Drosophila melanogaster: one gene and its partner. The protein of the gene in region 1 interacts with the protein of each later gene in a pairwise test. Each region holds a gene or a part of one and is shown on either strand. Other genes may lie near its edges. The genes, in order: CG31559 and Act42A.

Region 1 (13,832 bases):
TTTTGTATGAATGGGGGTGTCGTCCGTGGTTTTAATCGTGTGTGTAATCTTGTTGGTGAAGGTCAATGATTTGTCTTCATTGTAGAAGATATCTAGATAACTTTTGCAAAGTGAAAGTAGGCTTTGTTTCTCTTCAGAGGAGAGGTGATCGACGCCAAGGGCTTGTAACGACGCTGCGGAGTTTTGGGGCTGTGGGGTGTCTGAAGTGATACTGAAAAGTTCAACATTGTTGGCCGTGGAGTATGGCATGCCTTTTATCGGGCTCTCGAGGTACAATAACTGATCCCTCTCGCTATAGTTTGTGATAACGAAATTAGCAATATTGTTTTGGGCATTATAAATCCCGTCTGATATTATTAAGTCATCATTGATTGTAATTGAATCGATGTAGAAGTCGCCCTGTTTGGTTTCCACTGGTAGTGGCAAAATAGTTTTCGTATGTCCAGAGATATTAAATACGTTTGAAGTTGAGTTACTGTGGGTCCATAAGGGTATAATGGTACTTGGGGTTTTTAGATTTAGGTTAAGTAAATCTATTTCTGTTTTTAGGTAAGATAATAAGTCCATTCCTATCAATCCGTCAAAATAAGAGTGGAACTTGAAAGGTAGAAGGGTCATTTTGCCCGTGATTTGGAATTCCGGTGGAAATGGTATAGAGACGTTTTGATATATTTTAAAACTGTTCAGGGCTGTTTTGAGTGTTATGGGCGTATCTAAGGTCACACAGTTCCTAGGGTCGACATATTTTGGGTCGATGAAGGAGTGTGTAGAGCCTGTGTCAATTAAAAACTTCAGGGGGTTTGTCTGGGATAGTTTGATTTTTATAAAAGGAAGCGAGGGGTTGTGCGTGGCTGGGCTTATGTACCCTGTTGGTTTCCCGAGGCCGTTTGCTGAAAATTCGAATCAGGTTGAGGGTTCTCCTCTATATTATTCAAACTATGTGAAGGTGCTCGAAAGGGGTTTGATGTATTGGCCCGGTTGTCCTTGGTGCCGGATTGGGGTGTGCGATTGTGTGAATTAAATGGTCTATTTTGGCCAGAGTTAGAGTTAGAGTTAGAGTTAGAGTAGGGTCCCCTACGGTCATTTCGGTCGTTACGTCCGCTGCGGTAATTGCTGTCGTAGCTATTTCGGTAGGTTTTATTGTCTGATCCATTGGGTCCCTGCTCTGGTCTGTTGGTTCGCTTGTTTTGTGCCCTATATAAGGTCTGCTCTATTTGGCATTGCTCGTACGCCTGTTCAAGTGTAGAAGGGGACTTTATCCTGACGAAAGTCTTGAGAGGTTCCTTCAAACCAGTCATAAAAGCATTGAGACAAACCTCGTTGTAGACAACCTTTTTTGCATCTACAACAGTGTTGTTGTGTTCGCTGTTTTTGAGTATGGAGAAGAGTTGGCTTCTCACCTTTGATATACCAAAGAACAGTTGGCCCAAGGTCAGGTTGTCCGAAAATGTGTTAAGCTCGCTTAACAAGTTGGCCTCGCTTTTCTTGCTCGAGTAGAGGCGGATGAGATTGCTTTTAATCTCATCCCAAACCAAGGGGGTATTTGCCAGTTCCAAGGCTTCGTCGGCCCTATCAATGATTTTGTTCCTGATGGTCCTCAGAGTAAGCAGGCCATACGGTGTTTGGTCAGCTCCCCTGATGAGCATCAGGATTTCTTCTACGCTAGTGATAAACCTGTCCAATAGACGAGGTGTACCATCAAAGGTTGGCAAATGCTCAACAAATGCCATGATATCTTTAGGCTTGAACGTAGTTGAAATTAAGGAGCTAATACCACTGACAGTGGGCGCCAGAGGGGATGGAGTGGGGCGGGCAGAATCGTTTCCCGAGTCCATATTGGGGGTTTGGGAAGATATTGATTTGGGTTCTTCCGAAATCGGGAGAAGGGAGTCAGGACGTCTAACGGGATGTGGGGGCCTATTAGTGTTTGGTGGAACTCCAACAACTGAACGTGTAGTTTTCCTAAGGTTGTAAACGAACTTTTTTGACATTAAATTTGAGGTTACTTAGTATATTATGTATGATTGAAAAATAATGAACAAATTTCTTGTTTACTAGAGTGTATGGGTGTCTGTCTTTGGCTTTATATTTTCCCTTTTATATTCTGCAATGTGATTGGTATTAGTATTTGTTTGATATACAAAATTACACAATGAAAGGAAACAAAATATATCTGTATATGTCGACTTCTTTAGTACATTTGTTTTGGTTATTTTGAATGTGCAATACATGAGCGTAGCAACCCATTGTAGAAGAGTGAAAGGCAAGAACACTTGACGATACTCAAGCGTTTTCCCCTTACCTCGGCTACCCAGACATGGGTGCGCCACTACACATGCAGTGTCGTTGTCGTTGTGGTACGCAGAATGAGCCTCGCTTGGTTTGAAATGATTTTTGCTTATGTTTTGATTTTTCGCCGACGTATGGCAGTGTGCGTTTTGAGTGTACAATGTATTAGAGAGGCTTTGGTGCTTTGTTTGTTTACCACGGTGGCATGGTGATCAGCGTTTGATTCCATGCCAACGAGGCGGTACAGTACGTGGATGTATTGGATTGTAGTTGATATTGTATGCTCACATATATAAGTGTATATAGAGGCTTTGGCGATGCGTTGGCCAGCGTATGTAAGTGCCGATGACGTGATGATCAGCGATAGATTCCACGTCAGCGCGGCAGTACGGTACACTTGCACTCTTTTTTTTTTATAAAAACTTATGACGTTTGGCAGAGTATGGACATACCGATGGCGTGGTGATCAGCGATAGATTCCACGTCAGCGCAGCAGTACGGTACACTTGCACTTTTTTTATAAAAATTATGACGTTTGGCAGAGTATGGACATACCGATGGCGTGATGATCAGCGATAGATTCCACGTCAGCGCGGCAGTACGGTACACTTGCACTTTTTTATAAAAATTATGACGTTTGGCAGAGTATGGACATACCGATGGCGTGATGATCAGCGATAGATTCCACGTCAGCGCGGCAGTACGGTACACTTGCACTTTTTTATAAAAATTATGACGTTCGGCAGAGTATGGACATACCGATGGCGTGATGATCAGCGATAGATTCCACGTCAGTGCGGCAGTACGGTACACTTGCACTTTTTTAAAAAAATTATGACGTTCGGCAGAGTATGGACATACCGATGGCGTGATGATCAGCGATAGATTCCACGTCAGCGCGGCAGTACGGTACACTTGCACTTTTTTTTTGTATATTTATTTATTTTACATTTTTCCTCTCTCTTTTTTTTTCCTGTGTTTGAATATATGTTTGAGTTTCATTTGGTACTTCACAACTTCAATTTTGTTTTATAAAAATTTGTTCCTAGTCACTTTCAGTCGACATCTTGCATATAGTTTGTTTCGTTTCTTACATGTTTACTTACAGGTAGGTAATTATTAATAGGTAGGACATCCTACCGGCTGCGCCAGTTAAGTCCGTGATCGAGGGTGGAGCCTTTTGTGAAGATATGATGTGTAAATGTATGAAGGTTTTTAAGTTTCAGCAGATAGTTGTAGCGTGAAGATTTCCAATAAAGAATACGACTGACTTTCTTGAAGTTCAAAATCAGTATGAAGTTTATTGTCAGAGAGTGGCTACTCGAGTCCTCCGTTTTCGTCTTATACATAAGTACATAGGTTCTTAATTGTAAGCATAATGAACATGCCGACTCGGCATGTGGCTGGCTAGCTGGGGACAATGTTGCAGTGCGACTTTTGTGTAATGTCAGCATTCGGCCGGAATGTCAGCATTCGGCCGGATGCGGTGTTCCAGTTGCCGTCTTCCCGGTTGAGTGTCCGATGATTTGTTTAGAGGCGTGGGGGTTTAGGGGGTGGGGTGGTAACTCGCTCATCCTCAGCCAGAATTGTGGCATAAATAAAAATAAGTGAGTGAGGGAGTTTGGGGAAAATGCACATCAGACATTCTTTATTGGCCAACTCATGCTGGCCGCACATTTCCACTGACGACTGAATGAGTTACTGTAACCTTTGCTATCTGGACAGGAAGTTGTCCGAGATGCGGTCGATAAGCTGCGTCGATGACTCGTTCGCCTCATTCAATAAAAAATTCGGAAAATTGTCACGCACAGTGTGTTGAGATAGTCCGAAATACCATGGACTGCTATTTGGTTGAATAATCGCTATATTCTGATTTAGGTGTCTGTAATCGTGGCAACATGCTTTTTAATGCACTTCTCGGTCACTTAAGGTGTTAATTGGACATTCTAGAGATTGGTAGAGGCGCTTACAAGGTATTTGGTAAGGTCAAGATTTAAATTCTTACGAATTTTAAGATTTTAATTAAAAATTTATATAATAGCTATAAAAACCAAGCCAAGAACAAACAACGCAAAATCGATTCAAATCTGTAATACGTGCATGCATTTTGCTAATGAAATTATTATCATATTATGGATAAGAAATTGTATTTTATTAAATTACCATAAATCTTAATAATTAAATGCAGAACGATATTTAAGTAGCTTAATAACAGCTCTACAAAATCTGTGCTCACCTAAACATTCTTGAGCTAACTTATATATACTTTAAATGCTCGAATTTTCCAAGTATTTTCCAAGTTAATACTAATTTTTCAAAAGAAAACATTTGGTATTTATAGGCTCTCGACTACTGCTGCCGAATCAATTAGCGACCAACCGCTAACCGAAAAAGTGGGTCAACTAGGTCAAGTTCCAGCGATTCCATTCCCTAATTGAAATATTATTTAATAGGCGCTGCTGGAGTGTCCGCTAACTCGCGTTCTTACGGTTCTGCGATCTCGGAACTCCAATCTGGCCAAGCGATCGGGCTTACTAAATTTCCCAGTTGGATTGGATCGCGTCACAGTCACGCGCAGGCGTCATGCCAACTTTGGCAGCTGCTGCCCCCGGCTCTGTAGGCCAATTGCTAATTCGCGAGGCGGCCAGAAACTTCTTCTCCGGCTAATGACAAACAATTTGAGCCCGGCAACGGGCTTTAAATTACCAAATCTAATAACGCGCGGCGGAGGTGCAATCTGGCCGAAAGAAAGCCACCGCGGAGTTGCTGAATCTCCAGCTGAGAGCTGAATAAAGTGGCCCGGAGAGCGAATAAGAGAAAGAGAGAGAGAGAGAGAGAGAGAGCTGAGTGGAGTGGATCCATTGCAGCTCTGGCTTGCCATCTTGGCCAGAAAAAGTCGGTCCAGTCTAGCGACGATATCTGAAGCATAAAGACATGCGACGTCTCGGGTGCAACGTCCGTCAGAGTCATTGAACGCTTGCATTTTCCTGGGCCAATCCGATAAAAGCCAATACTGTACAGTGCCAGCCGAAAGACGGCTTACTCCGCAGACTCTAGATAGCCAGATAAGTGATATGGTGCTGGCCACGCCCCCTGTGAGCAAGGGCGGTAACGCGGGCGGCCTCTTCATGGACCAGTATCAGCAGTACGCGGCCCACTGTGAAACCGCCGACAGTGGCAATGGCAGTGACCTGGAGAGCACCGGATTGCCCACCAAACCGGATGACAGCGAGGAGAGTGGCCCCTCCTCGCTGGGCAGCGACTCCATGCACGGGAGCAGCACGGAGTACGTGCGACAGTCCGCCTCCCAGCCCAGTGGCCAGCGGCAGCGACAGAAGTCCTTGCGGGTCCTGGGTGCCCTGCTCCCCGACAGCCTGCTCCGCGACATACGGGACCGGAGGAGCACCGAGTATGTGGTACAGTTCTCGCAGCCAGAGGATGAGGAGAAGATCCAGGTCCCCGACAAGATTCCGGAGAAACCCAGTCCGTTCCGCCTGGCCCGCGAATCGCTGAGCGAGGACAAAATAGAGGAGCTGCGGGCCGCAGTGGAGCGGGCCAACTTCGTTCAAACCGGTGAGGAGACGCTGGACAGCATCGATGCCACATCGCAGTCTCTTCCAGCCAGCAGCAACATCGGCGGACACCGCGGCAATATCAATTACAAGTATGCTGACGACCAATACTACAGCTTTCACATCAACGAGCACGAGAACTTCGGTGCGAGAAGCGCGAGAAGTGGCGACGAGGCGGACCACTCCACGGGAGCGGGATCGGAGGCTGGCTCCGACAGCGGGATCCTAACGGAGCAGCAAGACCTCTTCGCCGGCTATCGGGACGTGCGATGTGGGGCCAGTTCCACCCAGTCCACTATCCGATCGGCCAAGGGAACGGTGCGGGGCGTCAAGAACCGTGTGCGCAATGGAATAGCCACGTTCTTGCAGCTCCAGCAGCAGCCCAATGCCAAGGTGAGTTTCGTGATCATGTCGGGTAGGGATGGTATGGGGACGTATGATTGGATAACGGGATGGGATGCGTACGGTATTAAAATGCTTCTCAGGTCAGAGTCGACTGATTGCCTATCAGTTGCATACCCCTAAATACCGGTTTACTAATCACTGTCTTAATCTTACATTCAAGAAAGAAATCTCACTTTAATCTGATATCGGATTAATAACATTTTCTTTCCAATTTAAAATGCATACATAACACAGTCGTTAACACCGTAACAACACAATCGTTGAAAAGTGATTAACAGATGTACAAGCGTAGATCAGTCTGTTTTCCATTATAATGCCGAAATATCGGAAATTTACGCCCACCAGCAGCTGACTAATGGGTATCTAGTATATGTAATGGGTATAATAGTTGAGGAAGTCAATAGTAACGATATGTCTTTTTTTAATTAGTTTTGTTTTACATTTTTTTTGTTCTGGGTTAAATTAATTAATAATACTTGATTTAACATTTTAGCACACACTAAACCATATACTTAGAAACATTATAATTATATAAGTTATTTATTTTAAGGAAGTATTTTGAGCTAAACTTTATTGTTGAAAAAAAATTGTTTGATCTTCGGATCTAACAAGATCAGCACAATATATATTTACACCGCTCACATTACTTAATGCAACGATTTCTGCAGACTTTACTAAAATTTTGACCTCCGCTGTGGTTATAAGTACCGATATGAATATTCAGATATCGATGGTTATTCGGTTCCCACGCTGCTGGGCGTCGGCAGAGGCCTCCAGTGGCGTTGAGTCACCTGCTCGCCCAAATTATGCAATTGGCCTGCATCTCGACATTTCGGCATTTCAGTTGGCTGAAATGGAGAAAGTGGTGGCCAACAATTGCGGCGGCCGATATGTGGCTGTGGCTTTTCAATATACGAGTATCTTTCACATTTCGTGTTTCGTGTTTCGTATTTGCCCGTAATCTAATGAACAGCTCGTGGTTCCCCATCGTCCCCTTGGAAGCCCCGAGATCTGGGAAACCAGCTGCGCTTTCAGCGTCTTCGTCGGTTTCTTCTTCAATTATAATGGAAACCGTTAAGTGGCTTATTTTGTCTCCGCCGATGTCGTTTTGTATGCGCTTAGCGCGCGTCTACAACTTGCCCAGATAGCCAGTTGGCCAAGTCGCGTTTGTTTTAGCCCCTTGTTCCCAGAGACATGTAGTTTGGGCGCGGGATTGACACGACTAATCGCAGTTAATGTCGGGCAGTTGGGAGTTGGGGCTGGAAAACAAATAAAAAGAAGTGCTAATTCCGCGGAGACAATGGAGCGAAGTGGAGTTGTCATCGCAAAAGCGGGATTAGTGATAGTTTCTATTCCGAGCCGAGGCGTGTTCTCGGAACTAGATTTGCATGAAGCGATCTTAATTTATTCACTTGATAAATCAATATCTCTGCGCTGATTTATGGTTGTTAGTGTGAGTGTGTTGGAGCTTTCTAGCATTTTTATTGAAGATCGTCAAAGCCTGTGGAATTTATTAGCACTATCGAAATCTCTTGATAAATTGATTGAATGTTCATTCATTTAGTCTTCTGATGAAAATATACCACCTTCCATGTATTTTCAAATTTATTTTTTTTTACCAATTTGGCTAAAGAGCTTTCTAGTTTCTAGCAAACTAATACCGAACCATTCCTCTACATTGTAGCATTAAATATATATTAACTCTTACGTATCAACATCATGAATATACCTCGGATTGAATGCTGATTTATAATTGCCGACTTAGCTTTCTAGTATTTCGATTGCGTCTTGAGAGTCATCATCAGAAATCAAACATATTTTGAGTTTAATGTCTCAAATTAACTGAATTGCCGCCATTAGGAATTCCCCTTCCCAAATCGTTGGGAAATCGTTGTCATTGATTTCGAGTCTTTCCACACCAAACGCCATTTAGGATCGGAAACCTGTCCCCGTTTCACGGATTACTCGTATCGCTCAATCGTTTTTCCGGCTTTTCGAGCGCTTTTCTCCCGTTTTGCCTTTATCAACCGTGACGGGAGTAGAAATCTCTTCTAGTCCAAATACACACTTCTGCTTGGGCACGATGTTGTTTTTATGGTTTTTAGCTTTTATTAGTTGCCCGCTCCGAGATTTCCCTTTATCTAATTTAATGAGCAGATTTTAGATCACATTAATTGTTTTGCTTCGCGTCTCGGCCTGCGACTCCGTGGCTTTTCACTTTCTGGACCTGATGAATTGATGGAATGATAGCTGGCCTGCTCGGCGGACTAGAAACAACGGCGAATCGGCATAACTTAGGTGGATTGGATGCTAACTGAATAGAAATGTTTTATGGCCTTATAGCGGCTCGCATGCAAATGAGCAAATGATTCGGGCAGGAGGAAGCATTTGAATGCCACAATGAGGAAAGTGAGATGCTGCTAATTACAATGCAGCCGGTATGCAGAGCAGTAAAATCGAAAGTGAAAAGCTGGGCCAGCGTAGTCTTGGCCTTTTCTTCTACCCTTTCCTTTTTTTTTTTTCATAACCCCTTTCAGACCTTTTCAGCGCATTGCTGCAAGCCATAATTAGAGCGCTCACCGAATTTTCGATGGCCGATTGGCCACAAATTGGAGTTGCTGGAGCTGGCTGCTCAGCTCGGAAAACACACAACTCACTTTGTCACCTTCGAGAAGCATCAGCAGTATCTGCTGGCTCGGCTTTAGCCTCCATCTCGATGTGGCTGTTGCCCAACTCTTCGATTGCCAATCACTCCACCGCTGGCTCTTGGCCATACAAGTGACCTGCTTTCTCTTTTGTCCACTTATATGTAGCAGTTGCTGCTGCTGCGATAGATGTTGCTGCTGCTGCAAGCGTTGCTCGCGTTGGTGTGCTGCTGTGACAAAAGTCGCGAAGCCGCTGAGGTCAACCGTGCAAATCACGTGTGGTAATTGTTAATTGCCGCCGTGTTTATGTTTTTGGCAATGCAAATCATCAGCTCGAGCTGACATTGAACCACTGACGGAGGGGGCTACCACCACCACTATCACTTGGTGGCTTATTAGCTTGGGGGCTTTTCTTTTCGCTAGAAGACAATCGGTGGAATTGAATTGGAAAAACAGCTCGGCAACGTTCACTTGGAGCTGGCTGGAGTTGACTTTCCATTTGACCGCAGCTAGTTGTTTGTTTGTCAGCCAGCCAGTTGTTTATTGTCGATTTGGTTCGTGATGCGTGGCTTTGAACTTTTCCTCAGTTTTGTCGTGAAATATTTTTCTCGCTTTTGTCGTTTATCGTTGACAACGGCACTTGCAGCTGCATCTCTCTTGGAATGATGTGTTTTTGTCTCCGACTTCGAACTCCGACTCTGGCTGTGTATGTGTGCATTTTCCATTTCCCTGCCCCAACCAGCTCATTAATTCTCCTTCTTTTCCATATTCTTGGTATGCAAATTCTCGTCTCACTGGTTTCTAGAGCAAAAAAAGGGAGATAAGCTTATTATTTTCTAATTTCAATTATCAAATTGTTATTATCCTCCGAGATGAGCCTTCGAGTCAATACAAGCAATGTATAGATTCTTTGACATAACTTCATTTGGGAATAATCAAAAAACCATAATCAACAATGAGCAAATCAGATGCTCAAATAAAAATGCTGTCTTAAACATATTTCTTGTACTATTTATATCCTCATGAATACAAATTTTACCATTATATCTATCTACCATTATACCATTAATCTTTATTATTAATCTCCTAACATTATCGTGAAAAATGCATTCTTTTTCTTTTAAATCAACACATATTGAAAACGTCTTTCGAGATTTCTCAATATTTTATTTATGTGTACAAGACGCTTCTGCACGGTTCATTGATACCACAGCAGTAGTGCAGGTGGGGGAACCGGGATCAGATCGGATTGGTTCGGTTCGGACCAACTTGGTTCATTAGCTAAAGCAGACGCCACCAAAGTTGGCCAACTAACGGAAATGTTAATTGTCAAATGAAATGAGCGAACCCAGCTGCGAACCGGTTTCGCTTACAAAATAAGACATCATAAATTGTCGGGAAAACATTCCAGGTTTCCATTGTGACTCTGCTGACTGGCGACGTCGATTGCCTGGCAGTTTTCCTATTATTGCTTAATTGTATTGATTAATAGGATTTTGAGTGACATGCAGAGTTGCCGAGCTGCGGAGTTGGGTTACGCGAGTCCAAGCCTCGAGCTAATGAACCCGAAGCCTGGCAGAGAGAGCCGAGTTTTCCACCAGGCTCAGTTCGAAATGCAATTTCCAACCAGTTTTCAGCCCCCGAATTCCAAACTGCTTTGTCGGTTTATGGCCAAGACCTGATTCTAGCCGCAAGTGCTGGTTATTCAGTTTGGGGAACACTCGAAATGTAAATAAAGCACTGTTAAATCTTAAATGAATCTTAAAATAAATAATGCAATATTACTAATTCAATAAATCTCTCTAATGTTTGCTGATCCAATAATGTCGGAAATTGAAGTTAGCCAGACAGGAAATCTTATTTTTTACATGTGAGGAGTAATTGGATTCGAAAATTGGTTGGGGAGCTTTTGGCTATGATATGTAACAAAAAACAATAATTTGTTGTATATTTAGCAAATATTATAATAACTTAAAATGTTTTGTCATTACGCACTCAAAAATGTTGTATGAAGCCAGACAATTGTCTAACAACATATACAAAAATATTACACATCATCTGAATGACTCGTTTTCGGAGCACACGCTTTAAAATCAATTGAAACACGACGTTACGTTAAAAATAGAATTTAAGTGCACTGGTTACCCGAACATAAGGAATAGTCAACCGTAGAATATCGTGTTTTGAATGCTAAAACCTCTATGCCATGCCTGCACAGCTCTTCCGCATCGCCTTTGTCTGCGGTTGGCCTTCATCCTCAGCCGGTAGAGACCCAATTTGGCATTGCCATTCTTGCCTGGCCATGGCAGACTTCGAAATCCGCACTCTGTGGCGAATGGCGGGCCAGTTTCCAGTTTTCGGTGGCCTGCTTTTCATCATCTCGGTCCGCGCCGAACGCCAAACCAGAACTCGAACTAATCTGTGATCTGCTTTTCCACTTCCATTCCTCCCGCCCCGCAGAACTTCAAGGAGAAAGACCTGGGCAAGGTGGTGCTGTACACCACCAGCATGGGCATCATCCGGGAAACCTACACGAAGTGTGCCAACGTCAAGCAGATCCTGCGCACCCTGCTGGTCAAGTTTGAGGAGCGGGACGTCTTCATGAGCGTGGAGTACCAGGCGGAGATGCGCCAGCGGATGCAGAGCGGTCAGGTGCGGGTGCCACAGCTGTACGTCGAGGGCCAGCACATCGGGGACGCCGAGACCGTGGAGCGGATGAACGAGTCCGGCGAGCTGAGGCAGCTGCTCAAACCGTACAAGTCCATGGCCAGCACCTACACCTGCCAGACCTGCGGCGGCTACCGCCTGCTGCCCTGCCCCTCCTGCAACGGGTCCAAGAAGTCCGTGCACCGCAACCACTTCACTGCCGAGTTCGTGGCCCTCAAGTGCATGAACTGCGACGAGGTGGGCCTGGTCAAGTGCCACAATTGCTGAGTCGCAGTCCGAGTCCCAGTTCTAGAATTCGTAAGCCCAGTTAGTCTAAGCCGCTAAAATCCAATACTCTCGGAATATGCTAGGCTTAAGTAGTAAATAGCTAATCCGTACCAGGGTCTGTGTTTTCATTTTCGAGGAAATAGTGGGGGTAAATTTACGTACTAGCAAGTTTCAGCGAAAATTTGGGATAAGTACTTTGCTAAAATATTTAATCTTTAATTAATTTGCTTAGACGCATTAAGTTTTCTGCTAACTCCTGCTAATGTGTCAAAAAATCATCTTTATAAAGAGGTAAGTTATACAATAGGTAAATTTTAGGTCAATAAATGTTTGTTTAATCGGTGAATCCCAATGAGAACATTTAAGTTTTGAATAATTATGTATAAGTTCGTCAATTTTAAGCTAATACAACAATCAAAACCAACAAGAATTTAGAAATAAATATAAAGTCAACCAAGGAGCCACTATGTTTTCATCTTATCTCATGTATAATGTATGTGTGCGATATAAAGGAGGATAATACATATTCTGGGTGGCTAGAATGTTGGTCGGACCGATGAAATATTTCACCAATAGCAAACCAATATTTGCCGACAAATAAATTGTTTGCCTGAAGTGCAGAGCATATATTTCAGATGCAATTAAACCAGTTTAGTGCTTTAATGTTTCATTAATTTGCAATTGAACCGCAAAGTATGCAAAGCCTAATACCTACTTTGCGTTCGGTTAAATGCTGCAGCCTCTTGAATGTTTGACGGCGCTTAAAATTAATTTGGAAATTCGCTGATTGCGTTGCATACTTTTTGGCGGACTTTCTCCAGGGCTGCCAGCCCACATGGAGGAGCTAAGCCCAACCCAGATGATTCTTCCTTTTTGGATCGTCTTTTATTACCACATCACCCGGACCATTGCTCTCCAGCCTTCTGGGAAAGTGACTTACTGCCCAACTAAAGCAAAGGAGCAGCCAAATCTATGCCACCGCAGAGCTGGCCAAGACAAAGAGTGTATATTTCAGGAAAAAGCCAGTGGCTTATGCATCAAGTCTGCTGAGTATGCACTGAGAAAAAATGGTCATTAGGTAGAAAAGATAAAAAAAAATCTTTTTAAATGAGTTCCCAGAAATATAGTACTATAAAGAAACGAAAACGAAAAAAACGAGAAATACAACAACGGTTGTTAAGTGTATAAAAACTGTATTATTACAACACAATCCAAAATTAAACATTGAGTATGAATGCTCCTAAAGTCACGAAAAGTTAATACTAAGATCCTGTTACTAACTATCCTTTAAATTTCATTTATTTCATATTTATTTCATACTAGTTATATAGGTTTTAGTTCCTAATGGATTTTATTATACGCCAGATAAAAAGCGAAAATGGATTTTAAAACCAAACTTTCGGTGCATGCTGGTCTTAAAGTGTCGATTTTTTATCCAAGTGCGTCTTCTGGCTTCGGGCAATTATGTAAACCGGCTTCTCCCTTTTTGCACCACACCGATCATGCAATTTTCTCGCGCCATTTAATTTTTGTCGGCCTGCTTCTGGTCGAGCTGGGAAAAGCGGGAAAAGTGGAAAAGCTGGTGGAAAGCGTCCTGGCCCCTTTGCCAGTTAGCCAGCCATTCGGCATTGCCATTTGCTTTTGGTGTCTTTGTTAGTTATTGTTATGGCCCTTTTAATGTTATTTTCCACTTGGCTCACACTTCTGTTAACATGCCGCCCCGAATGCACAACCGGCAACCCGCTGACCAACCGAACTGACCGAAGGAGAACCCTTTCCTTTCTGAATGGGAATGGGACTCCGGACGGGAGTGGGTGGGATTGTTGGGTTTCCGCCTCCCGAGGTCCCCCAGATCGTTAAATTCACAGGCGGCTACATTGTAATTACCGAGCGGAGCCACCGTCGAGCTGCTGGCCCAAATCCTCGGCCAAGGCGGCTTAAATTATGGGCCAGCGACGGCGTCGTCATACGCAATTTTTCATAAACA
Region 2 (9,847 bases), on another chromosome or scaffold:
GCCGAGTCGATCTAGTCTTTTTAATTGTCTTGCCTTTTTTCATCTATATATGTAAATCTTGAAAAATCGTCCCAGCAATTGTGACCAATAAAATTATTTATTGCTTTGATTCCGGATGAAATAAATATTGACATATAGAAGAAAATAAAGTTTAAATGTCGTTTCTAAATTTGTCATTCATATTTTAATTAACTGCAACCCAAATCTAAGAACCTTATATTTTGTATTAACTGTTTCCATGCGCTTGTTCTATATATATAGAAATTTCATAAAAGTTAGTCCTTAAAACTTCAAGTATAATTACATATAGCGACACTATGTGCCTTTATTTAATTTTTAATATACATTTTTGATTATTATATTTTCATCCAGACTGGGAATCGTTTATATTATTTACAATTACATTTTAATTTCTCCAAAATATTTTTTGAGGACTTCAATGTAGTTGCACTTGCAGATCGAAGGGATAGTCTCTTGAATTAAGACTCTGCCTGAACAGTTGTGTGTGTTGCCATGCTACATCGCCCTTGCCACCCGTAAGTTTGGCCACTATTTTGAATCCAGTGGCATTTTCAACCGAAGCGCTTCCGTCGGTGGCATCGACAGTCACGCTGATTTTTCCGTCGCCAAAAGTTTTTGTCTCGAAAACTAAGTTGTAAGACTTAACCTTTAAATTGGTCTTGCTGAAATCAAACGTCCAGGCAATTTCTCCGCAATCGGTATCCTCCAGTCTAGCCAAATATGCCATTTTCCAATCGCGTTCCACTTTCCGAAATATGTTCTTTGAGGAAAATTGCGCTTTTTGCCATGTCTTATAGCTATCCAAAATAGTGATGTGTTCTCCTTCTATGGATATAAAAGTTAAAAGCATTCATAGTGCTGTAAATAAATTCATGACTCGCCTTTGGCATATCGTTCGTATGTATCGGTGGCACAGCTGTAACGCACATTAAGTTGCCTTTTTTGTAGTTCGGTTGCACTTAGATTGAAAACGAATATCTGTAAATACATGAAAGGTGACAAACGGCCGGCAGCGCGTCTCAGGCCAGATCACTTACATTGGTAAAAGTATGCTCTCCACGTGACTGCCGCCAAGAAAGACTTCCCGAACTCCGACCCTTCAGCTCGTTTTCTGTCGGCTTACTAAACAGGAAACGGGATTAAATTTAATTTCGAACAGTTTCCTGTAAATGCTTACCGCTCTAGCGTCAAGCCGATGACCTCGTACATATTGCGCTGGCTGAGGAATAACTTTCGATCGGCGGTGCAATTTTGCCGCCGCTTTGCTCGAATCGCGTCCAGCGTTTGCACCATTTCTTTTTCCCCGCACAGCTTTCGTAGGTGTAGAATCTTCTGGTGGTCATTAGTATAGCGCCAAGTCACATCTTGGATGTCGTCCCTAGAGTATGCAAGAATGTAGTCGATGTGACGTTTCCAGCCATGCTGATACATCAGCGGAGAATCTATAACGTTCTCGGAGGGGTCAACATGGAGCCAACGCATCTGGGCCTCGGAGTACACCTCGGTCCAGACGTGATCAAAATGCGAGTGGACAATACGGGCGTCGTAGTCGAGGGCGCGACAGAGGAATGTGAAGCAATTGGCATATTCTCCGCAACGGCCCTTACGGGAAACTAGGAGCTGGGAAATGTCGTTATAGCGGTAGAACTTGCTCTCCTGGCCGCAGCAAACGGTGACTTCCACCCTTATATCACCTTCCCGTTCAGTGCGGCGCAGCCTGCTCTCTTCACTCCCACACACGCGGCAAGGTATATTGTTTACCCACTGGAAGAACTGCGTGTTGAACCAGTTTACCAGCTCCACAAGCAGCAAGTCGCGAACACATGGCTCCTTCTCCTGGCGCTCACCCGACGCAATTTGATCTTGGATGTCTATCAGTTTCTCGCTTGCCATTTCGGTGAGCTCTTCCACAGGAATCAGAGTGCGGCCAGTAGCCAGCAGCAGGTTATCCTCGTACTGCATGACTGCATCGGAATAAAGCTCTAGCGACTGCAGAAAGTTATTATTGGTGCGCTGAAAACAAGCTTCCACATCAGAATACAGCAGAGGTCTATCTTGTTCGATGGCTGGCTTACCAATACACGGGGGAAGGCGATTCTATGGCGATATTCCACAGAAGGCTTGATGAACAAGGGCGTGGTGCTGGTGGTGCTTTGTTGAGGAGGACCTATTAAAATCCGAGACATGATGATTAGGATGTCAGTCTTGCCCCCAAAGCTTACTTTTTGACACTGTGCCGTTAAGCCAGGCAGTGCGTCTCTCGCTCAGCGCATCTCTGTACTTCTTCACCTGCTGCAGTGACACCTCTGTGGGCAAGGTGTAGGCGTTGGAACTGGGGGCGCGTACGAAGCCTATGGCTTCCAGTAACCTCTCACAGCCGGGCAAGGACAGCAGCTTTTCTTTAATAGCTTTGTTTTCCTGCCGTATGGTGCGGAACATGGAGTTCTCCGGCTGCGCCAAGATGTTCTCCAGCAGCACTAACAGAATGCGGACCGCTTCCAGGTAGGCTTCCTTTAACCCTCGCTCCTGCTGCTGCTGACCAGCAGAACGGGTCTTCGGTTCGATCTGGTGCACGCACTCCAAGTTTATGTCCACCATGTTGATGACCAGCTGCCACTATCAGATTGGTTTCGTCGTTAGTAGGGGTGGCCGGCGGATGACAATCATGCAGACACAAAGGGTTATGGTGTTGGAAAACGCGATTAGTTTAGCGAACTTCAAGCGATAACAAAAGAGGTGTTTTTTAGGTTTTTTTTTGTTGAATGAAGCCAGCCGGATTCCACTAGCGTACATGTTCTTTTCCTGTGGGGATGCACAACAAATTTATGCACGAAAAATAGAGCTTGGATCTCCTTTTTATAGACATTTTAAAAAAGGTAAGAAATCTCTAAATTTCAACAATTGCTTTAAATAGGAAATAAGTTACTTAGAAATATTAAGTTATCACGTGTTGAAATTATAAAAATTACTCAATAATCTTTTGCTTAAAAAAACGGATTAAAAATACACAAAGCATTCAATTACCATTTTTAGTTAGTAGCGATCGAAGAATGTTTTGATTTGGAACTCCCAATATTTATTAGGTCTTGGAAGTATATAAATTATATATTAAATACATAATGTAATAGAAAAATAAAAAAAAATTTTTAGGAATCCACTTAGGACTAAGGGTGTTCTAAAATGGACGGTTCATGTTTCAAATTAAGTTTACATTGTTGTTGCTCAAAGAGAAAGCTTATGAGAGCAAGGATCCTGGAAAATTGATAAAGTAATTATGCACAGCTCTCCGAAAATTCGCCTTACAGTAGGAACAGCTCAAAGGGACTTGAAAATACTGCCAGCTCCAGCACTCGCACCAAGCAAATTAGTGACATGAACCGATGTACAACAACATACCAATGTTAACTTGCTAAATGTGTTACACCATTTACAGATCGTTTTTCATGTGGCAAGATATTTCAATATTTTTTAACGCTATTTGTTATCTTTATGAATAACGCTTGCTACTTCTTAGTCTGAATAATATTCGGCTTATAAAGATTTCAGGGATTCTGTAATGGATACGTTCGAACTTATTTCATTAAATTAGAGATAAACAATTATGTTATTGTAAAAAATATCAATTGAAATCATGCGAAAAAAAAACTTATTCTCAGAGGAGAATGCTAAAGACAATGTATAATGGATATTAGATATCCAATTACTGGATATTCGCTTTATTCAGTTTTAGCAACCAATTCTGAAGCGTACATGTGGAATAAAGATTAAAAAAATTATATTCCTGCAAAATATTTAGATGAATACATTGCATATATTGGAAATCGAAAACAAGTTCATTTTAAAATTGTGGGCTTGCCAGTTTTTTGTGGCTTGTGGACGTTAGAGTGAAAGTGGCGTAGTTATACAATAAAACAAACTTGCCCGAAGTAGGCGTCACTAGAATTTGCATGATTAGTTTTAACATCCTACCAATATAGTTCCAGAGACTTTGATGTCTATGCTAACATTAGTACATCGCCAGGTCGCCTCGGCTAGAGATGTTGATCAAGAGCGAATTCCCTATTGGGAATGTTGTTTGTATCTGTTTCTGTCCAACATTAGAAAATATTCTCAGCTGCAAGGCACATACGTACGCAAGGTACATACGCAAATTATAAAAATAACCTAAGTATTTTATATATATATATTTGTTAAAATCCAACTAAATTCATGTCCTTTTAATATAAAAGTTATTTAAGGCTGATTTCATGTCACACAACACTTTTTGAAATATGTTCTGAAATTGCAACTTCCTGGAAAACTCTACATAGCTTAATGCAAAAGCTTTCACAGCTAGTTAATGAAATTAAAAACAAAAGGTTGAGATACCGGGCCACTTGGCAAAACGCTCTGTAAACGGTGTAATACATTCTGAAAGTTAGCGTCGAAATGATAGTGCTATACATCGGTTCATAACATGGATTTCCCTGTGGTGCAGGTACAGCATTTGGCGGTATTTTCAAAACCCTTTTGGTCGAATTTTGAGAACACTGCATAATTTTTAAATGCATTTTCAAGGATTCTTAGATCATTTCTAATTTGTTGATAACACGTCAGTATACCAATGAATAAAAAATTTTAAAAAAAGTCCGCTCTCCAGTCTTCACCGTTTCCAACTTATCGCACATTTATTGTTGGTGGAGTCACTTCGGAAGTAAAAAAGACCATAATTTTATGCGTATATGGTCACACTACTTTTCAACCACTTTAACTCGAAAAAGTAGGCGTCGGTCAATTCAATCTTAAAGCGTCTGTCATTGTGCTAAGTGTGTGCAGCGGATAACTAGAAACTACTCCTACATATTTCCATAAAAGGTAAGACTCCTGCCCAACACTTTTTTTTGTCTGTGCGGTCATTATTATTCCTTTCTGGAAGGGGTCGGTCCCGTCTGCGTTCTTTTTTACGTTAGCCGCTGTCCTGTCTCCTTGTTTTTTTAGTGTACACATCCAGATTTCTTTTCTCTTGCAGATCCAAATAAAATTTCTACAAAATGTGTGACGAAGAGGTTGCAGCTTTAGTGGTCGACAACGGATCCGGCATGTGCAAAGCCGGCTTTGCCGGTGATGACGCACCGCGTGCAGTTTTTCCTTCTATTGTCGGCCGTCCACGTCACCAGGGCGTAATGGTAGGAATGGGACAAAAGGACTCTTATGTCGGCGATGAGGCACAGAGCAAACGTGGTATCCTTACCCTGAAGTACCCCATTGAGCACGGTATCGTGACTAACTGGGACGACATGGAGAAGATCTGGCATCACACTTTCTACAACGAGCTTCGTGTGGCCCCGGAGGAGCACCCCGTCTTGCTTACTGAGGCTCCTTTGAACCCCAAGGCTAATCGCGAGAAGATGACTCAGATTATGTTTGAAACCTTCAACACTCCGGCCATGTATGTTGCCATCCAGGCGGTGCTTTCTCTCTACGCCTCCGGCCGTACCACAGGTATCGTGTTGGACTCCGGCGACGGTGTCTCCCATACTGTGCCCATTTATGAGGGCTACGCCCTGCCGCACGCCATCCTCCGTTTGGATCTAGCCGGTCGCGATTTAACCGACTACCTGATGAAGATTCTTACTGAGCGCGGTTACAGCTTCACCACCACCGCCGAGCGTGAAATTGTGCGCGACATCAAGGAGAAGCTGTGCTACGTGGCCTTGGACTTCGAGCAGGAGATGGCCACGGCCGCTTCAAGCTCGTCCCTGGAGAAGTCGTACGAGTTGCCCGATGGACAGGTCATCACCATCGGAAATGAGCGATTCCGTTGCCCCGAATCGCTGTTCCAGCCGTCGTTCCTCGGCATGGAGGCCTGTGGCATTCACGAGACCACCTACAACTCAATCATGAAGTGTGACGTCGACATCCGTAAGGATCTGTACGCCAACACTGTGCTGTCCGGCGGCACCACCATGTACCCGGGAATCGCTGACCGCATGCAAAAGGAAATCACGGCGTTGGCTCCGTCCACCATGAAGATTAAGATTGTTGCCCCGCCAGAACGCAAGTACTCTGTTTGGATCGGCGGCTCCATCCTGGCTTCGCTGTCTACTTTCCAGCAGATGTGGATCTCGAAGCAAGAGTACGACGAGTCGGGCCCCTCCATTGTTCACCGCAAGTGCTTCTAAGCAGTAGTCGGGCTGGGCGTGGTCGTTCCTCATCGAACACACCCATTGCAGACAAAGGATGGGAGTCAAAAGTATTGGGCATGAGTACATTAATACCGGGAGCAGGCGCACAACACTTCCGCTCCTTCAGAAGAATGCATTCCATTCACTTTTATACACAGTTGTACACGACGCATAAGCAAACCATATTGTGTTCTATTCGAAATTCAAGTTCATATGCACATAAGCATTTATAAAACTGATTCATGTTTGGCATTTACATTACTTCCATGCATTCCTACATATGTATTAAAAGCAAACTTACCATACCACTAAAATACTTGTAACCGCTTCTTAATAATAAAGCGACGAAAAGAACTGAAAATTCCTTTTGTATTATTCTATTATTTTTTCCACCAAAAAAGCTAGCATTTGGCTGGCATGAGTAAGAGGCAATCTGAGACCGTGATATTCCGATGGCTATGTGCTCATTCCACTGGCATGCAGTGGCGGAGGCGTCAGATAAAGCGCTAACCAATAAGGCATGCTTTGCTTTTGTGTTTAAGTCAGATGGGAGCAAGCATCGGTTTGCAGGAAGTGCCTTGATAAGCCAGTTTATGGCCTGCAGTTTCTGTCGAATCGGATATATGTACATTTGAGCATAGGGTGTGATTCAGTTTGGACTCGCTCCGCTTATCACCCGACCCCACCCAGTCTAAGCGGTATTTTTACGTTGATTGATTGCGAGTGAAGCAAGTGAAACGCCAAAAGCAGCTGCATCAGCGTTACCTTATAAGGAAATAGTGGAGGAATACCGCAATCGCACTCGCACTGGCCACTGCAAATCGAGACCAAAACAAAGCCATGTTGACTCACTCACGAATGTTCGGAGTAGTTTTCGTTGTCATCAATTGGCATTGTTTGCCCGATTTTGTTGATAGGTGGGGCCCGGCCCGCCCCATCCGATTATCACTTGGGTGTTGAAACGTAGAGAAATTCATTTGGGGGATCCCTAGCAAATCTGCTGGTGATCTGGACAAGCGCGTTGACCAAATTTAATGAACTGTAGCCAGAAAGTAGATTCGTAAGAAGAGCGCATGCGTCGATCGTCGATGTCCATATATGGAGGCCGTTATAGACTTCAGTCACTGCAACAAATGCCTAACTAACTTTATTGCTGTAAACAATATATTTTGGGTTTCTACGCTGGAAGCTGGCTTTAAATAAATGTATTTTCCAAATCCATCGATAGGTAGATTTGTTCAATACAATTTCAATACTTTAAAAATAGGAATATTTTCACATAACTTTTCGATTTCTGGCAGTTATCAACATTTTATGGCGTGTGTCATACATACTTGGTTAATTTGTATATTTTAGTAGTAAGGTCAGCAAACTAGAACTAATAAAATTATCAGAGCTTAATAAAATAAGGTAAGGAAAGAGAAGTTTGCCAATCCCCGCCTATGGTCTGAGTAAAAAACAAAATGATTTTGAATTGCAAAATAAAATTTTTAATACTTATGCGCATTTTATATTTCTTAAATTTGTGTATGCAAGGACTTGCGTTAAAAATAATGTGACGGGGAAATTTGCTGACTTTGTCTACTATTTTCACTGTTGTTTATAAGAATTTGAGTTTTTTAAATATGTTTCTGAGAAATCAACACTAAAACTGCTATCTTGGAATATTTCAACAAAAACTGAGTGACTTTAAAACAAGTCCTTGCCTTTTTTCAAGCCCTCCATAATAGATAAAAGAATGAGTGAACAAAGTTGAGTTTAATTTTAAAGAATTTTATATTTATAAATTATAAAGAAATATTTTCTTGGTTCTAAATGTACATGTTTTCGTATATGTATGTTTGTTTATGCATATTATGTTAAGGTTACAAATTACATTTAAATTCTAAATAAGTAATTATATGGATTTAGCTATTGGGCACTGCAAAGTATCCAGTAGCTAGCATATATTTAATGATTGGCGTTTGTGTTGCTTTTTCTATTTGTGATAAAGCATATAATGTCGTTGATAATGTTCAGTGAGAATAGAAGTAAGACACGTACGTAATTAATTAACTAAAAGTGAAAAATTTTTGTATATGTGTGTGCTGCAAATATCGTTCTCAGGTTGGCCTATCAACTAAAGAAAAATAGGGAAGTATGTTTTAGCATACTTCAATAATGAGGGTCTCGGCATATGAAGGTGTGACTATACGGTTGTATTTATATTTGTATATAAGTGATCATATATATATATGTGTGTGTATACGCGTAAATATATGCTATATGCGTTATATAAATAATAATACATTTGATATATTAATCGAAATATACGACAAGGATGTCAAAGCGTATAAATCCGACCAAGTGCCAATATGTTTGTCATAATAAACAAGAAAACGAATGTTCCAATGGAACGTCATTTGAAATTGCATTCCACCTCAGCAACTATTTACCTTAAATGCTAATAACATGAATCGTATCGGTACCTAGACAACCACAGCCAACGGGCACCAAACGGGGGCCCATGGACACGTTGTGCAGCAGTAGAAAATCTATGCAAAACAAAAGTAACTTAGTAAGAATTGTCCGTTCTGGGATGCCTGGCGATTTTTTGCAGCTGTCTTAATTTTCGTCACGACTGCTGGCCACGTCCGTGACTTCGAAAAGCATTTATCAGTAGGCCTGCGCCTCTTTGTAGTCGCTCTGATCAGATGTATAGAAGTCTTCCAGTTTCCATTGTAGCGTCTCAAACGTGGGTCTGCGCATGGGGTCCTTGTGCCAACATTCCAGCATAATCTCATACAGGCGCGGCTCGCAGTTGGGAGGTTGCGGCATTCGATAGCCGTGCTCCACTTGCGTTAGCACCTCAGCGTTGGTCATGCCTAATCAAAACGATAAGCCGGATTCGATTATTAAGAGTTTGAATCTAGTCAAAGGTGTGACTTACCTGGATATGGTATGCGTCCGTAGGTGACCAGTTCTGTGAGAAGAATGCCAAAGCTCCAAACATCCGATTTTATTGAGAATTTGCTGTAGTTAGCAGCCTCTGGAGCGGTCCATTTTATGGGAAATCTGGCGCCTACCCGCGCCTCGTATTCGTCCTCCTTGATGAGCCTGCACATTGAAGATTTGCGTTATAGGAGTTAGTTATGTCTTTTTAAAGCCGTGTCTTTACCTAGCTAAACCAAAGTCGGCGATTTTGACGATGTTTCCATCGCCTACCAGTACATTGCGCGCCGCTAAATCCCTATGAATATAATTCTGGGACTCCAAGTAAGCCATGCCAGCAGCTATTTGCGCTGCCATATCAATCAGAGTTTGCATTTTAAGGCTACGACCCTTGCCTGCAATGGCTAAAAGATATTAAAAACAAAAATAAGCAATTTTCATGACATGATAAGCGAGCGGTTGGTTAACGTTGAGTGGCATGAAAAAAGATGTTCAAAGTGTTTGGTTCATTTTTTTTTTATGCAAAGCGTCTTATTTTTTCCTAGGCTTTCCTTCCTAGTGGCATACCTTGGAGATATTCCAACAGTGAACCGTGCTTCATTAACTCTGTGATAATATAGATAGGCTCCTCAACAGTGCAGACAGCGTACAACTGTATAAGCTTGGTGTGGCGCAGTTTCTTCATGATCTGGGCTTCCGCTAAGAAATCCTTGGGGTCCATTGTACCTGAA

The links.
Region 2: the proteins of CG31559 (region 1) and Act42A interact in a two-hybrid assay, tested with the Drosophila melanogaster proteins (one large-scale study listed by BioGRID).

What each region holds. Positions count from the first base shown.
Region 1 is NT_033777.3:6,148,588-6,162,419, reverse strand, and holds CG31559 (uncharacterized protein), read left to right. Parts: upstream 1-5,184; 5' UTR 5,185-5,363; coding exon 5,364-6,254; intron 6,255-11,371; coding exon 11,372-11,845; 3' UTR 11,846-12,304; downstream 12,305-13,832.
Region 2 is NT_033778.4:6,010,605-6,020,451, reverse strand, and holds Act42A (actin 42A), read left to right. Parts: upstream 1-4,762; 5' UTR 4,763-4,875; intron 4,876-5,029; 5' UTR 5,030-5,051; coding exon 5,052-6,182; 3' UTR 6,183-6,542; downstream 6,543-9,847. Other genes in the region: Pngl (PNGase-like), read right to left, coding at 437-846, 903-999, 1,059-1,143, 1,199-2,034, 2,097-2,188, 2,244-2,619; Src42A (Src oncogene at 42A), read right to left, coding at 8,841-9,049, 9,115-9,281, 9,343-9,520, 9,684-9,842. UniProt on the Drosophila melanogaster protein: Actins are highly conserved proteins that are involved in various types of cell motility and are ubiquitously expressed in all eukaryotic cells.